Linked DNA regions of Stegostoma tigrinum. The protein of the gene in region 1 interacts with the protein of each later gene in a biochemical or structural test. Links are inferred from orthologs where the notes say so. Each region holds a gene or a part of one and is shown in the gene's direction. Other genes may lie near its edges.

Region 1 (8,002 bases):
GGTTGGTATTACCAGGTGAAAAAGGAAGATAATGTTCCGACAAATGCAGCAAAACTGTCCCTGTCAACCATTGTTTCCATTGGCGTGCCCATGCCTTTTCCTGCTCTTCCCTTAGTAACCATCTGTTTGCTTTCATTTTCCTTTCAATTCCAAAATAGCAGGAACATAAAAAATCAGTATTTATGGCTTTGCCATCCATCCTTATCTACCTGAAAGCAGCCAGCATGTTATGAATTAAGTTTTGGGTAAGTCAAGTGTTTTGAGGTGATCACATCACTTTGTAAAATACAAAAATGTGGTAACAAGAGTAAACTATCTGGTAGCCCCATGAACCTGCTCCTCAATTCAATGATACCATGGGTGATCTTTGACTTTGTAACCACTTTCCTGCCTGATCATTACACACTTGAATTTCCAAGTGTACAAAACTGTATCAGAGCCTTGAACATACTCAACCAATGAGCATCCGTGTCTCATGGGGTAGAGAATTCCAAAGTGTATGAACTCCAGAGTTAGGAATTTCTTTCATGCCTCATTATTAAACGATCAGCCCCTTGATTTTGAGTCTGTGCCCTTAAGTTCTACACTCTCTAGCCAAGGGATTCAACCTCTTTTGGAGTTTAATCCAGATGTTTATCATTCTGCTGCTCCATATATTCTAAATTTACTCCTTAACAATTTCCACCTTTATCCTTTGGTCCAACTTTGTAGTATTAAAGAACGTATACCACATCAAAGCATACAAATCATTGGATAAGGTCTCCTGTTAATGACCTTTTATCAGGCCTGTAAAGATTTTCTAACTTTGCCTTGGAACTCATCCTTTTACACCGGAGACCAGTCTTGCTGCTCTTTTCTATAACATGTTATGAGTGCATGGCAAGCTGCCCAGAACTGAAATCAATATTCTAAATGTGGTTTGACCAATCCATTGTGCACAGCCTTGTGAAATGCTCTTCAAAGCAACTGAACACTGCTTGTATTACTGATGGCTAACAGTGCCCGGATTAGCGGTGTTGTACTGTATCAAATATATCATCACACATTTGCTGAAGGGAGTTGGGGAATTGTGGTCTCGCCTTTAATGCATTGCTAACACTTTCCTGTTGATGACAGCTCTGATTAGAGGGAACTAATAGAATTAATCACTGTGAAAAATAAATGTACAATATGATGCTATGAGAAGTTCACTGCAAACTGAGCCTCTAAGCTTCCCTTTACTAGCCAGGAAACCAGATAATTTTGACATGCTTCTTTTACATGCAGTGTTCATGTCCATTTGTATGTGGTTGAATCAACACAATCTTTGTGAGCATATTTAATGTAGAGGTTGATTAACCTTTGAGTGTCTGGAGGAGGTAAAACTCATTGAGGAGTTCGGTCAGCCATGATCATATTACATGGCAGAGCAGGTTCGATGGGCTGAATGGCCTCTTCTTGTTGCTATGTTTCTATCTCTGTCGCACTACTGTTGACAAGTACGGATTGCTGACAAGTCATGAGCATAGCCATGATGATTCTGGGGAAAGTGCCACAAATACGTTTGCAGACAACAAAAAAATTTTGAATAAAACCAGAAAATGCTGGAGGATCTCAGCAGGTCTGGTAGCATCTGTGCAAGCAGAAATACAGTTAATGTTTTGAGTCCCATATGACTCTTGTTGAAACGAAAGAAGATTCTTGTTTGGAAGAAGACTAATACCAGATTCTTAAACATTAACCCTGTTTCTCACTCCACAGGTGCTGCCAGATCTGCTGAGTTTCTCCAGCATTTTCTGTTTTCATTTCGGATTTTCAGCATCCGCAGTATTTTGCTTTTACAACAAAAAGCATTCTTGCAATGTTCACAATGTTAAGACATGACAAAGTGTGTACAGCTAATTAAATAGTTCTGAAGTCAATTTAAGAAAGGCAGCAGCCAAAATGCACACAGCAAACTCCCAGAAGCAGTAAATTCAATAACAAACAGGTCATCTGATTTTGTGATGATGTTTGAGGAGGTGGACAAGGCATCGGTTTAATATTGCTTCTGAGAGATTGCACCTCTGAGGGTGCTATGCTTTAACAGAACTATGTGAGAGTGTTGTTGAGTTTTGTGCTCAAGCCCTGCAGTACAACTTGAACCTTCTGACTCAGAGGCAAGAGTTGACACAGTTGACATTTAAATCCACAAAGGTGCACAAATATTGATCTAAAAGGGTGTCCATACGTACACAGCTTTACACCAAACAACCAAACAGGTTAAAGTTCACATGCATACTTCGTGAGAATGAGTTTGCAAATGACATGCCCAATGTTTGACTGTGACTCGTTATTTATTTCAACAGAAGTACAATTAGCCACCTGTAATGAGGGGTGGATGTATTGAATAACAATGCCCTGGTGGGACTGTTCCTAGGATTTACTCCTTGGTCAATATAAATAGTTTATCTGTAGATTAGTTATGAATTTACTCCCCTTTTCAGGTAAATGCCATGGTCTCTGTTTCTACTGTTCTGAACAAGGTGAAACAGCTTCTCATTTGCTAAGGCATTTGAAAGACTGCAGAAAAGATTAATGAAACCAGCTCCAGGTGTTACGTGGATAGATTGAAGAAGCTGGGGCTGTCTGTCTGGCTGCTGGCTGAGTGGAGTGGTGGTCAAATATATTTTGTGAAACCTTTGGTTAATTTCAGTGCGATATACCTGCAAGATTCATTTGGTTGAAGGAAATGCCCTTGTTAGCTGCAAAGGGTAAATAAAATGTTAACTGCAACAGGATTGGAAGCTCAGAACACATTGTGAATTAACGAAGAAAGAAAATAAGCAAGGTTCTCTCTCAATGTTTTGCAATCTTCGAACAGGTCCTGGTTTTGAAGCAGGTCTCTGACTCTAGAGCAGAGGTTGTGTCTTTCTATTTGTTTTTCAGTCAGAAAAAGCACATAGTGTAAAATAAGAGGATAAAAGTTTGTGAAGTGGACAAAACCCACTGCTGTTCTCACTGTTACCAGAGCTCACCAGACCATTTAAGGGGATGGGAGAAGAAAACCTCTGTGGCTTTTGTGCCATCATGACTGGAATGAGAGAGTATTCATAGATCATAGTGTAGCAGCCTCCTGGCTGCTAAAACACAGATAGATTGCTAATTTGGCCAAACAACAAGGGTGCTGGGTACACTGTACAAGTAGAACTCTGAAGTCACAAAACCCACCCATCAGACACAGTGCAAACACAACTGCTGCTAATGACATTAGTATAATGTAAAAGACAACAGTTATCTTGGACAGACATCCCCAACAACTTATCCACTAAACAAAGGTGGGCCCAGACAGAAAGGCACCGGGTCCTGCTAAACAAAGAAACTAACAGTGGCGTGCCATCCAAATGATTGAATGCTTCAAACTATTATGTGTATATCCCTGATTGGTTAGAACTATACAAAGTTCCAGAAAACCATCTAAAAGGTGTAAAAACAGGGTTCACCTGCCTCTTGGAATCTCTCTTGAAATCATCTGTGGGCTTCCAAAGAGACTAGCTGACCATCCAGAGAGAGACAGAGAGAAAGAAAGAAAGCAGCTTCACAGACCCAGAGAGTGAGCAACTGCATAAATCTACAAGAAACTCAGGAATTATTGTAACCTTAAGGGTTAAATAGGATTTGAGAAGATATGTTTAATATCGAAGATTATTGTAACTTTTTTCCTAATAAAGATGGGACTGTTTTGCATTGGTTCTGTGTTTGTACTGATTTGACTGCTTTGGTATGATGAGAGACCTAAGCAAATTATTTCATAACTTTCTGGTTGGAGTTGTCTAACTTGTTTAAGGAGAAATCAGACAACAGTAAAATCTCTGCAGTGCAGATAGATGCCATTTGGGCCATTGTGTCCTCATTGACCCTCCAAAGAGCATCTGACCACCCCCACCCCACCGTATCCTTCCAAATTTCATGGCTAATCCACAACCTACACATCTCTGGTCACTATGGACAATTTAGCATGGCTAATCCACCTAATCTGCATATTTTTGGACAGTGGGAGGAAACTAGAGCGCCTGGCAGTAACCCACGCAGACATGGGGAGAATCTGCAAATTCCACACAGACAGTTGGCCAAGGCTTGAACGTTGATCTCTGGTACTGTGACATAGTGCAACATACTGCAACTTATTAAATCTGGAATATAAAACTAATCAGAATAACTGCTGGTTGGTACAAAAACACACCTGATTCACCAATGTTTGGAAGGATATTAACATAGGAGGTGGAATAGTCCATTTTGCCTTCCAAGGCAGCTCCACCATACAAGTGATCAAGGCTGTTCATCAACTCAACAGCCTGTTCCTGATTTTCCCCATAATGTCCTTTTAGCTCCAAATGCTATATCCAACTTCTTCTTGAAATTATTCAATGTTTTGGCCTTGATTGTGTAGAAAATGCCACAGGCTCAGCACTCTCAGGGTGAAGAGAGTTTGCCTGACCTCAATTCTGATTGATTTAGCCCATACCCTTAGACTGTGGCATTCCCGGTTCTGGGCTCTCTTCATTGAGGACATCCTTCCTGCATATACCTGTCCTGTTAGAATTTTGTAGGTTTTGGTCATCCTCACCTGTGTGGCTTACATGTGACCGCAGACCTACAGCAACATGGAGCACGTGTCCCCTGAGATGCCCTCACAAGCCACTCATTTCAAGGGCAGCTCCGGCCCCTGTCAGAATGGATAAATAGTGTGAATCTGCTCTTTACAAAGTTACATTTAATCTACTAAACTACTCCCAGTCCTATTTGTGAGTGGCTCGGCAGATATAAGGTGACTTTGCACTATTGTTGTAAAACTTTTGGATTAGTTTGTAGTTTTGTCTTTGTTTGTTTGGGGGGGGGGGGGGGAGTGGTCCGTAGCGTTCGTAACTTCTCCAGCCGCAGGCCAGCCCACTGCGCAGGCGTGGACCCTGCTCGCGGCGCTTGCGCATATCGGTCGCTGGGCGGCCTGGCAACAGCGGCGGCTCCGAGAAGAGAAAGAAGAAGAGGTGAGGGAGGGAGAGATAAAAATAAACATAAACATAGAGAGAAAAACAGACACAGACAGAAAGATGGGGGTGAGGGAGAATTAGAGGAGGAGAGAGGGGTCAAGGGGAGAGGCAGGAGGGATTAAAGAGAGGAGGCTGAGTGAGGCAAGAGGCACTTCCCGGGGCTGGTTGTGTTTTGACTCCCGAGGTTAGTGTGAAGGGGAAGTGGCGGCCCGTCTCTCACGCCACCCCACCCTCTTACCCTACTCCCTCACCGCAGCCCCCCCGCCTCACCCCACCCCCACCACCCTCCCCCTCCCCCCCCTCACCCCCACCCCCTCCCTCCCCCCCTCACCCCCACCCCCTCCCTCCCCCCTCACCCCCTCCCTCACCCCCTCCCTCCCCCCTCACCCCCTCCCTCACCCCTCCCTCACCCCCTCCCTCACCCCCTCCCTCACCCCCTTTCCACCCTCCCTCACCCCTTTTCCACCCTCCCTCACCCCCTTTCCACCCTCCCTCACCCCCTTTCCACCCTCCCTCACCCCCTTACCATACCCCCTCACCACCCCGCCTCCCCACAGCCCCCTTCTCTCTCTTCCTCCACTCACACCGACATCCCCCTTCTCTCTCTTCCTCCACTCCCACCGACATCCCCCTTCTCTACCAGCAAGTTTTTTTTTGGGTAAAATGTTAATCGAGAACCTCTCCATGGTTCTGCCCCGAAATGTCTTAAAATTCCCCCTTCACTCCCGCTGTTTTCCACTGATTAACGATGTAGCAAGTCTCTGACAAAGAAATCCCGAATGCGACACGGTCCTTTCTAATCAAGTGCCCAAAATCCCGAGTGGTCGCTCGATACTGTGCTGAAAGGCGGACAGATTGACAGACGAGATCTGAAACTCACTCTTCCCCACTGATTAGGGCGCCCATTAGTGTAAAGCTTTCAAATCATTGTCTTTTTTGTCACAATTCCCAAAAGGTTGACTGTAATCTCAGTGAGTTTAGGAATATTTCCAAGACATGATTTTTGTTCTCTCGGAATTTAGTTTGTCCAAATTATATTGCAGTGTAGTCGAGTGTGTTAAACCTTTTTAAGCGCTGTGTTGTGTGTGTGATGTACCTTAATTTGGGAAGTCATCTCACTCAGAACTAAGTGAACGAATGGGAGTGGATCTGGTTCAAATCCACAAGCCTTGGGCTATGTGTCTGTGACCAGCCGCCTCTGCGATGCTGCAGGAACGAGCCTCAACGGTCGCCGGCAGCTTCTCCTGCACTTTTTTTATCTGCAGAGTTGCCCCGTGAATCTGCCTGTACGCTGGCGGACGATTCTTCGCCTTTGAAACATTGCAGCTGCCTGAGAATGTGTAGCCCTTTCGGATGGTTGGGAGGGGAGGGGGGGGAAAACGTGGGAGTTGTGCTGAAGGCGGCGGTGCAATGGTCTGTATTCTCCCCCCCCCCCCAATTGCAGAGTGAGTAATTCGCTCTGGCGTCATGTCATTCCCTGCGGTTTGCTGGATTGGGATTGGAGCTTGTAGAGCTGGCGGGGAGGGTGGGGAATAGACTGTTTGAAAGACTGGGATATTGTTGAAGCAGCGACACGCATTCGCGTTTCGCTCCACTCGGGGTAAGTCGCTGCCCCCCCCCCAGCTGCTTGTGTGCGCGGCTTCCCCAGCAATCAGCTGATGGTCTGCCGGGCTCTGCAGAAGGGACTGGAGCTCTTATTCGGAACCATTCGGTCCATCCAGCTGTTTCTGTCGGCATTCTTCGGTAGCTAAATGTTTAGTCCCACCTACATGCTGTCGTTCGCAGCCCCGATTTAAAAAAAACCTGACTTTTAGATTATTTTGGACGAAGGAGTAGCATTGCATTATGGCTTATGTGTAACCTTATTGCTAATAAAGCTCTGTTGCTACGTTGTTTATTTAGGAGACCTCTGTAGATATTTTTTGAGAAAGAGCAAATCATTATATGTAACTTTGATGCAGTTAATGGGGAAGAATAATCACCTTATTTCTCCTTAATTTTTTATGGCCAGGAACTTTTTTTTAAGATGCTTGTTCTGTACTGCCATAATCCTGTATCCCCATTATTTTTGTGTTTGTTTGGTTTCTGAAACAGTTATTTGAAGTTGAAGTGGAAAGGAATGGATGTGACGTGACTGAGGTTGCTGGCTATCAGGTTGTTCATCACTCAGCGGAACCTTTGTTACAATGAGGTTTCTCTGGAGACCTGCCTCGGACTGAAGCTTTGGAATCGGAGTGCGAAACAATGGACGAATCCATTTTGTTGGACCTGCTGGAGTGTCCCGTGTGCTTAGAGCGACTGGATGCCACGGCCAAGGTGTTGCCATGCCAGCACACGTTCTGCCGACGGTGCCTGCAGGGCATCTTAAACTCCCGGAGCGAACTGCGCTGCCCGGAGTGCCGAACTTTGGTGGACTGCAGCGTTGACGAACTCCCCACCAACATCTTGCTGGTGCGACTACTGGATGGTATTAAACACCGGCCGAGGAGGCCGGGTAGCAGTGGGATCAACGGCAATAACAACGTAAATGGTACCACCAGAGTACAAAGCAACGGAGCTATTTCTGTCCCCAACTGTGGCACTGCGTTGCGGGATCTTCAGAGCATTCATCGAGTGCAGGCACGTAGTCCCCCAGTCAGGGTAGGTTCACTTTGGTTTGCCTCTGCAGGTCACGTTAATGTGAGTGCGGTTAATGCTAAAACATTGAGGGCTGAAGAGTGTTTGGATGTTGAAACTTTGAATATTCTCTAGTCATTTTGGTATGAGTATGCATGCTCATACACAATTGCTTTTTCTTTTGAGGTATGAGTAACTGGTCAAATGACTATTCAGCACACAGAAATTAAATTAACCTGCAATACAGAAACAGGAGTATGCAGTGTGGGTCCTCAAGTCTGTTTTGTCATTTATTAAGATTGAAGACTCATGTGATCAAGAAACACTGCTGACTTAGTGTTCAAGAGGGCTCTCGTATTAATAATTCTTTTAACTTCATC
Region 2 (7,555 bases), on another chromosome or scaffold:
ATTCACCCTAACCTGCACATCTTTGGATATTGGAAGAAAAACAAAGCACCCTGAGGATACAGGGAGAATGTGCAAACTCCACACAGCCAGTCGCTCAATCGTGGAATCAAACCTGGGTCCCTGGTGCTGTGAGAGAACAGTGCTAATCACTAAGCCACTGTACCACCCCAAGTGAAACTCTTCCAGAAGAATCTATGCCTGGACCCCGTCTAACCAATAGTTGCGTCTGGTTCTTAAACAAACAATGGTGGGGGGGGGGGGGCGGTGATTAAGATCAAGGATTCTCAAGGGGCTATAATTAGATCAGAGCAGATGTCTGGTATAATGGTTAGGGTGGAACTTATTGCGGAGATGGTGGGGGCGAGGGTGGGGGTAGGGGAGAGTCTTGGAGGGATTTGCAAACAAACAGAAGAATTTTAAATTGAGGTATTGCTTGACTGGCTGTAGACATAGATCAGTAGCACAGTAATGATGGTTGAACACGATTTGGTACAAGTCAGGACATGGGCAGCGGACAGTTGCAGCTCACACAACAGGACTCACTCAATCAAACTCACCAAAAATATAACTCATCCAGCAGAACATCGCCCAACAATTTAATACTGAAAAAAGCACTTAGTGCAGTTCATTCCATATAATTCAACGCAACTTCTCAAGTTTCTCCAACATAACAGTGCATCTGAATCAAAAGTAGTCGCAGAAGTGTTTATTTTTGGAAACGATGCTAAACGAAAGCAGCATGATATAAAAAGGCAGGAAAGCTCTCCCTAGTGTTCTGTAATTATCCCTCAACGAATTTCACAAAAATGGGCGATATGGTCATTTACTAATCGCATCCTTGTTTCTGGGAGCTCGCTGTTCTCATGTTGGCTGCGGAATCTTCCACAATACCATACGTGTATTTTTTAATGCATAACTGACTTTAAAGCACTTCGGGATGCCACGAAGGTGCTAGCTAAGTGCAAGCCGGATTATCTTAAAGTAACTCTTCCAATACAACTTGACTAAACACGACTTACGTAACACAGTACACGCAATACGACTCATGCAATATAGTATATGCGACATGAATAACCTGCTGTAATTCACCCAACACAGCTCAATTAGCAGAATTCACCCCGAAGACTCATGCTGTAAACTATTCCCAACGCGATGCAATTAATTAACATTGCAAAATTATGTAAAGCACCTCATCCGACACAACTCAGCAAGCGCAGCTCCCAAAGACACTCAAACAAAAACAATTGTTACAGAGATAGTAGGAACAAAAAATGTCGCTTTGCTCAAAACAACTTGCCCAACAGAAGTCACACAATGCAACTTATGCAATTGAATTCATTCTCCATAGGTCGCCCAATTCAATTAATTAGCTACCGAAGTTCTCAAAGAAACCCATCCGACATGATGCAATGTAACTTGCTTACACTTTCCACTTTCTCCCTCTCACGCACACCCACAATTAGAGAACATCCAAGAAACGTCTTGCAAGGTAACCACCTGAATGTAAATAATCCAATTCACTTCACCTAGCACAGCTCCCTCTAAAAACATTTAATCAATGCAACTCATCTATCTGTCAACTTGGGGTGGCACAGTGGCTGTGTTTAGTACCGCTGTCTTACAGCATCAAGGACCTGGGTTTGATTCTAGTCACGAACGACTGCCTATATGGAGTCTGCACATTCTCCCCCTGTCCACGTGGGGTTGCTGCGGTTTCCTCCCACAGTCCAAAGATGTGTAGGTTAGAGTGGATGGCCATGCTAAATTGCCCATAGTGTCCAGGGATATGCAGGCTATGGGGTTAGCCATGGGGAATGTAGGGTTACGTGGATGGGGTGCATCTGTGTGGGACCCTCTTGGGAGGGTTAGTGTGGACTCAAAGGGCTGAATGCTTCCACACTGTAGGCATTCTGTTCTAAGTGTGGTTCCGTTGGTATAACTTTTGTCTCCAAGTCAGAATATTCCAGAGCGGTACTGATGAGCTGAGGTAGTAGAAGTGTTTTATTTGGAAATGATTCTAAACCGAAGCCCATGCTATAAAAGGTCAAGTGAGCTGTCCCTAGTGTCCCGTCATTCTCCCTCAATGAATTTCACAAAAACAGATAATCAGGTCGTTTATTAATCACAATTTTGTTTGTGGGAGTTTGCTGCTCTCAAGTTGGCTATGGAATCTTCCAAAATACCGTGGGTGCTACATAAATACAAGCCCTGACTACAAATCGCTCAATGCAACTTGTCCAATGCAAATCATTTTATTTGAGGAATCTGCTGTAACTCATTCAACAGGATCAGTCAGATATAACTGATCAAAGATAAATTATCCAATGTGATGCAAACAGTATAATCAATTTGGCTAAGTTTGCGACAAACTTAATAGCAAAACTTATTTAATGCACTTCATACAAACTTATTGCAAACATCTCACCAAAAACAATTCAAGTGCAACTGACTCATTGTAATATATTAAACTGTATTGACAATAACCCAAGGGTCATATTTGACTGGAAACCCAAGTGGAACAGCTGCATAACTTTTTGGAAGCTGGAATTCTGCATCCAGACTCCCAAAGGCCGTTGCATCTTCTACGAGGCACAGGTCAGAGGTGTGATGGGAAGCTTGCCTGGGTGGATACAGCTGCAATAATTCAATAATCTTTGCACCATCAAGGAACAGCTCACTTGATTGGAAGCACACAATCAACTTAAACATCTGGATGGATAAATCACCCAGAATATTGATTAACGGATGCAGGTATTGCTGGCTGGACCTGTATTTGTTGCCTGTTCCTAGTTACCTTTGAGAAGGTGATAGTGAGCTGCCTTCTTGAAACGTTGCATTTCATTTTCCGTAGGTAGTCGCACAGTGCTGTTAGGGAGGGAGCTTCTTGAGACTTGTTGGAACTGGACTACTCCTGGCAAATGGTGAGTTTTCCATTGAGTTGTGTTTTGTAGATGGTGGATAAGCTTTGGAGGTGAGTTAGTCACTGCAGGATTCCTAGCCTCTGACCTGCTGCATAAATGCATTTATTCTTTTCCTTTTTCTGTATGGAGTGCGTACCTACCTATGCTGGCTCCTGGATCATTGAGACTTTGATTTTAAAACGTCAATTTTTGTTTTCAAAGCTCTTGATGCTTTTGTGGCTCTTTAGCGAGAAGGATCTAATTGTTGTAGTCCATGTTGGGGCCAGCAATATAGAAAAGAGCAGACAAGAGGTCCTGCTGGTAGAGTACCAGCAACTGGGAGTTAAAGTACAGGATTTCAAGATTAAACAATTTTCGGATTATTATCTGAGTCATATGCAAATTGACACTGGGGCAAATTTAAAAGTGTGAACAATGCTTGAAGACATGATGCAGTGAAGATGACTTCCATTTCATGGCATAATGGCACTGGTACTGGGACAGGAGGAAACTATACTGTTTGATGGGCTCTACCTGAACTCGGAACTGAGAGCACAGCATGGTTGCCAAGTCATAGAATGGTTATCAGGCTATGGGATGGTTGCCAGGGTAAGGGAATGTTACAAGGCTATGGCATGCTTACCAGGTTATAGAATGTTTACTCAACTATGGGACAGTTACCAAGCTATGGGATGGCTGTTTGGCTATAGTATAGTTAGTTATGAGGACATGGTATGATTGCTAGGATATTGATGATTCGCAGGCGATGATATAGTTACCAATCTATATGGGTACATTAATAGGAAAAGTTCAGAGGGATATGGGCCAAACACAAGGAAATAGGAATAGTTTAGTTTGGGAAACCTGGTCGGTGTGAAAGTTCAGACAAATTGTACCAAAGGGTCTGTTTCCGTTCTGTAGGATTCTACAGTATAATTGCCAAGCTATCGTATGGCTTCAAGGGAATGGAACAGTTGTAAGGCTATGGGATGGTTGCTCAACTATGGGATGGTTGATTGGGTGTGTATGTGATCATTACCAAGCTATGGGATGGTTGTCACACTGTGGGATGTTTGCTTGGGCATGGTATAGTTGCCAGGTTATTGGATTATTGCCAGGAAATGGTATTGTTACCAAGTTATGGTATGGTTGCCAAGCTATGGGATGGTTGGTTGGGTCAGGGATGGTTGCTCGGCTATGGTATAGTTACCAAGCTACTATCTGGAATAGTTATGGGATGGTTGCTAGTGTCTGCGATGGTTACCAAGCTATGGAGGGTTGTCAGGTTATGGGATGGTTGCTTGGGTCAAGGATGGTTGCTATGGTCCGCCACCTCACCTCAGCCCCACCCCTGATTGGTCTGTATTTCCCGCTTGGCGATTGGCTGCCGCCGCCATCCGCAGCAGCGTGGGTTCTGATTGGCGAGAATCGTTTGCTACCCGTCATGCCCGGCGAGATCGCCACTTCCGCCAGCCTCCCAAGTCATGTCCGGGAGCCGGGCCTTCCCGCGGAGTCTGAGAGACAGGAGCCTGGGAGACAGAGACTGAGAGGCCGGAGCTCGGGCCCCCCGAGCCCAACATACAAACTGCCCCACAACAAGGCTCCAGGTATTGGGGCGGGATGAGTGAGCGGCCGCCTCGGAAAACGGGAACCCCGCGCCTGCGGTGGAAGGGGAGCGCGGCCTCCGGGGGTCGGGAGGGGGGAATCTGTCCCTTCCTTTGGATTCGGGGTGTGGGATTTGCACGATTCTTTTAGACTGGGGGCAGGATCAACCCAATTCCTTCGGACTGCGGGAGGGATTTTGGGATCTGCCCAGTCCCTTTCGACTGAGGGGTGTGGGGATGGTGGTGGTGGGATCTGCCCAGTCCCTTTGGACTGAGGGGTGTGGGGATGGTGGTGGTGGGATCTGCCCAGTCCCTTTGGACTGAGGGGTGTGGGGATGGTGGTGGTGGGATCTGCCCATCTCCTTTGGCCTGAGGGGTGTGGGGATGGTGGTGGTGGGATCTGCCCATCTCCTTTGGACTGAGGGGTGTGGGGGTGGTGGTGGTGGGATCTGCCCATCTCCTTTGGCCTGAGGGGTGTGGGGATGGTGGTGGTGGGATCTGCCCATCTCCTTTGGCCTGAGGGGTGTGGGGATGGTGGTGGTGGGATCTGCCCATCTCCTTTGGCCGGAGGGGTGTGGGGATGGTGGTGGTGGGATCTGCCCATCTCCTTTGGACTGAGGGGTGTGGGGGTGGTGGGATCTGCTCATCTCCTTTGGACTGAGGGGTGTGGGGGTGGTGGGATCTGCCCAGTCTCTTTGGCCTGAGGGGTGTGGGGATGGTGGTGGTGGGATCTGCCCAGTCTCTTTGGCCTGGTGGAGGGCTAGCTTGCCCAATCCCTTTGGATCAGGGAGCCTGCTTTCCTTTTCAATGAGAGGATCTGCCTTTTTGCCACTACCCCCTCAATTCATTTTGGACATGAGAGATCCAAGACATCCTGCCCCTCCCTGATTAGGTAAAGTGCATGGTATCACCCCCCCCCCCCCCCCCCCCCCCCCGCCCCCCCCCCCCCCCCCCGCCCTGGATGAAAGTAGTTTATTGGCACATGCAACTTATAATGGTCACCTTTATTTTATAGTAAGATCCGTACCTTTGGTGTTTGATTTCCCACCCTGTCTGCATGAAGGCAGTCTATTACTACTAACTGGGCTTGATGGTGGTGGCATTGTAGCCTATTTCTGAATGGCTGTTGGCTACGTGTAGGTAGAGATGCTTGGGAAGGGGAGTCAACAACCTGTGGAGTCTTGGGTGAACCATAAACCTGATCATGCTGAAACACCATGTGTAGCCCCTGGCATCTTTGCAACCCGTTCACAGGCAGACTGGCTGGTTGACAGCAGAGGCTATGTAAATTCACGCCAACGAGCACTTTTCTCGGCACTGGTTCCAGTTCATTACAAACTGTATTCCAAAAGAAGGAAGTGGTGATAGATTTGATAGTGGTAACACTAAAGGAGATGACTATCGTACTGTAATATGCTGATGTTAGAGTTGAATCCAAGCATTGATCTTCAGATTAGATGTGAATTGGCTTCCAAGCATGCTCAGCCTCATGACTTTTAAACAGCGCGCATTGAGACTTGGATACTTAAGTTGTTGTTAGCTTTGTTTTACCGTGTAAACAAGACATCACACTGAATGACACTTGCTGCTCCTTACGAGTGAAACTGTTGGATTACTCCCAGCATTGTCATTCAGATGCAAGTGATGCACGTGGAATTAAATTGTCACTGTACTCCGGACTGACTGATGGAGAATGGCTCCTGTCCATACTAGAAGAGATTGCAAGTGATTGCTGTTTGCAAAGCTGCTGTCGGCTCTCATTTCGAGAGTTGGCTGCTCTGTGTTGCTTCATCGCGCAGCCTTCTCAGAGAGGAGTGAAATGAGCTGATATCCCAAATAATATGTGGAGCTGGATGAACATAGCAGGCCAAGCAGCATCTTTAGGAGCACAAAAGCTCACATTTCAGGCCTAGACCCTTCATCAGAAAAGGGGGATGGGGAGAGGAATCTGAAATAAATAGGGAGAGAGGGGGAGGCAGACTCAAGATGGATAGAGGAGAAGATAGGTGGAGAGGAGAGTATGGGTGGGGAGGTAGGGAGGGGATAGGTCAGTCTGAGGAGGATGGACAAGTCAAGGGGGCAGAATGAGGTTAGTAGGTAGGAAATGGAGATGTGGCTTGAAGTGGGAGGAGGGGATAGGTGAGAGGAGGAACAGGTTAGCGAGGCGGACAAGCTGTGCTGGTTTTGGGATGCAGTGGGGGAGGGGAGATTTTGAAGCTGGTGAAATCCACATTGATCCCATTGGGCTGCTGGGTTCCCAAACGGAATATGAGTTGCTGTTCCTGCAACCTTCGGGTGGCATCATTGTGGCATTGCAGGAGGCCCATGATGGACATGTCATCTAAGGAATGGGAGAGGGAGTTAAAATGATTTGCAACTGGGAGGTGCAGTTGTTTATTGTGAACCGAGCGTAGGTGTTCTGCAGAGTGGTCCCCAAGCCTCCGCTTGGTTTCCCCAAAAGGACATAGATGAGTAAGAATATTGAGAATTGTGGTGAGTGTTTGGAATTCTCTATCCTGCATGTTCAAGACAATAGACTTCTAGATATTAAAGATATTGAGGGATATGCGAATATTTCAGGAAAATGGTTTTGAAGTAGAAGATCAGCCACAATCTCATTGAATGGTAAATGGTCTGGAAGAACCAAATGGCTTTCTCCTGTTCCTATTTTTTTATGTGATGCTGAGAAAGTGAGTGAGTTTCTCAGGTTGAGAAATGCAATTGGGCAGAGAGTTTTGTTCTCAGTAAATCAATTCTGAGGCTAATGCCTGGTCTGGGACAAGAGCAGCAAATGTTCTGATCCAACTGTCTGATGCACTGAGCCCTGTGTGAGGACTGTGTCAATTGTCCACTCTGGTGATGAGGCAGATTCATAAATGCAATATAACCTCTGAAGGATTTTGAAAGGTGGACGATTTAAGTGTGGAAGGACATGTTTCCAGAAAGAACTGTACACACTGTGAAATGATCTTTTTGTAAACCTGCATCAAGTTCTAACCTTTCTTTCTCTACATTCTTTGCTCATCTAAGGTGACTGCTAGTGGTGGGGTT

Evidence for each region.
Region 2: the proteins of sh3rf1 (region 1) and RAC-beta serine/threonine-protein kinase form a complex in vitro, tested with the Homo sapiens proteins (2 studies listed by BioGRID and IntAct, with this or other methods). The link is inferred for Stegostoma tigrinum from reciprocal best matches to the Homo sapiens genes SH3RF1 and AKT2.

Annotation. Positions count from the first base shown.
Region 1 is NC_081356.1:127,442,698-127,450,699, forward strand, and holds the start of sh3rf1 (E3 ubiquitin-protein ligase SH3RF1), read left to right. Parts: upstream 1-4,917; 5' UTR 4,918-5,003; intron 5,004-6,557; exon of another isoform or gene 6,558-6,606; intron 6,607-6,671; exon of another isoform or gene 6,672-6,749; intron 6,750-7,100; 5' UTR 7,101-7,250; coding exon 7,251-7,646; intron 7,647-8,002. UniProt on the Homo sapiens protein: Has E3 ubiquitin-protein ligase activity. In the absence of an external substrate, it can catalyze self-ubiquitination. Stimulates ubiquitination of potassium channel KCNJ1, enhancing it's dynamin-dependent and clathrin-independent endocytosis.
Region 2 is NC_081392.1:8,806,118-8,813,672, reverse strand, and holds the start of RAC-beta serine/threonine-protein kinase, read left to right. Parts: upstream 1-4,365; 5' UTR 4,366-4,507; intron 4,508-7,555. UniProt on the Homo sapiens protein: Serine/threonine kinase closely related to AKT1 and AKT3. All 3 enzymes, AKT1, AKT2 and AKT3, are collectively known as AKT kinase.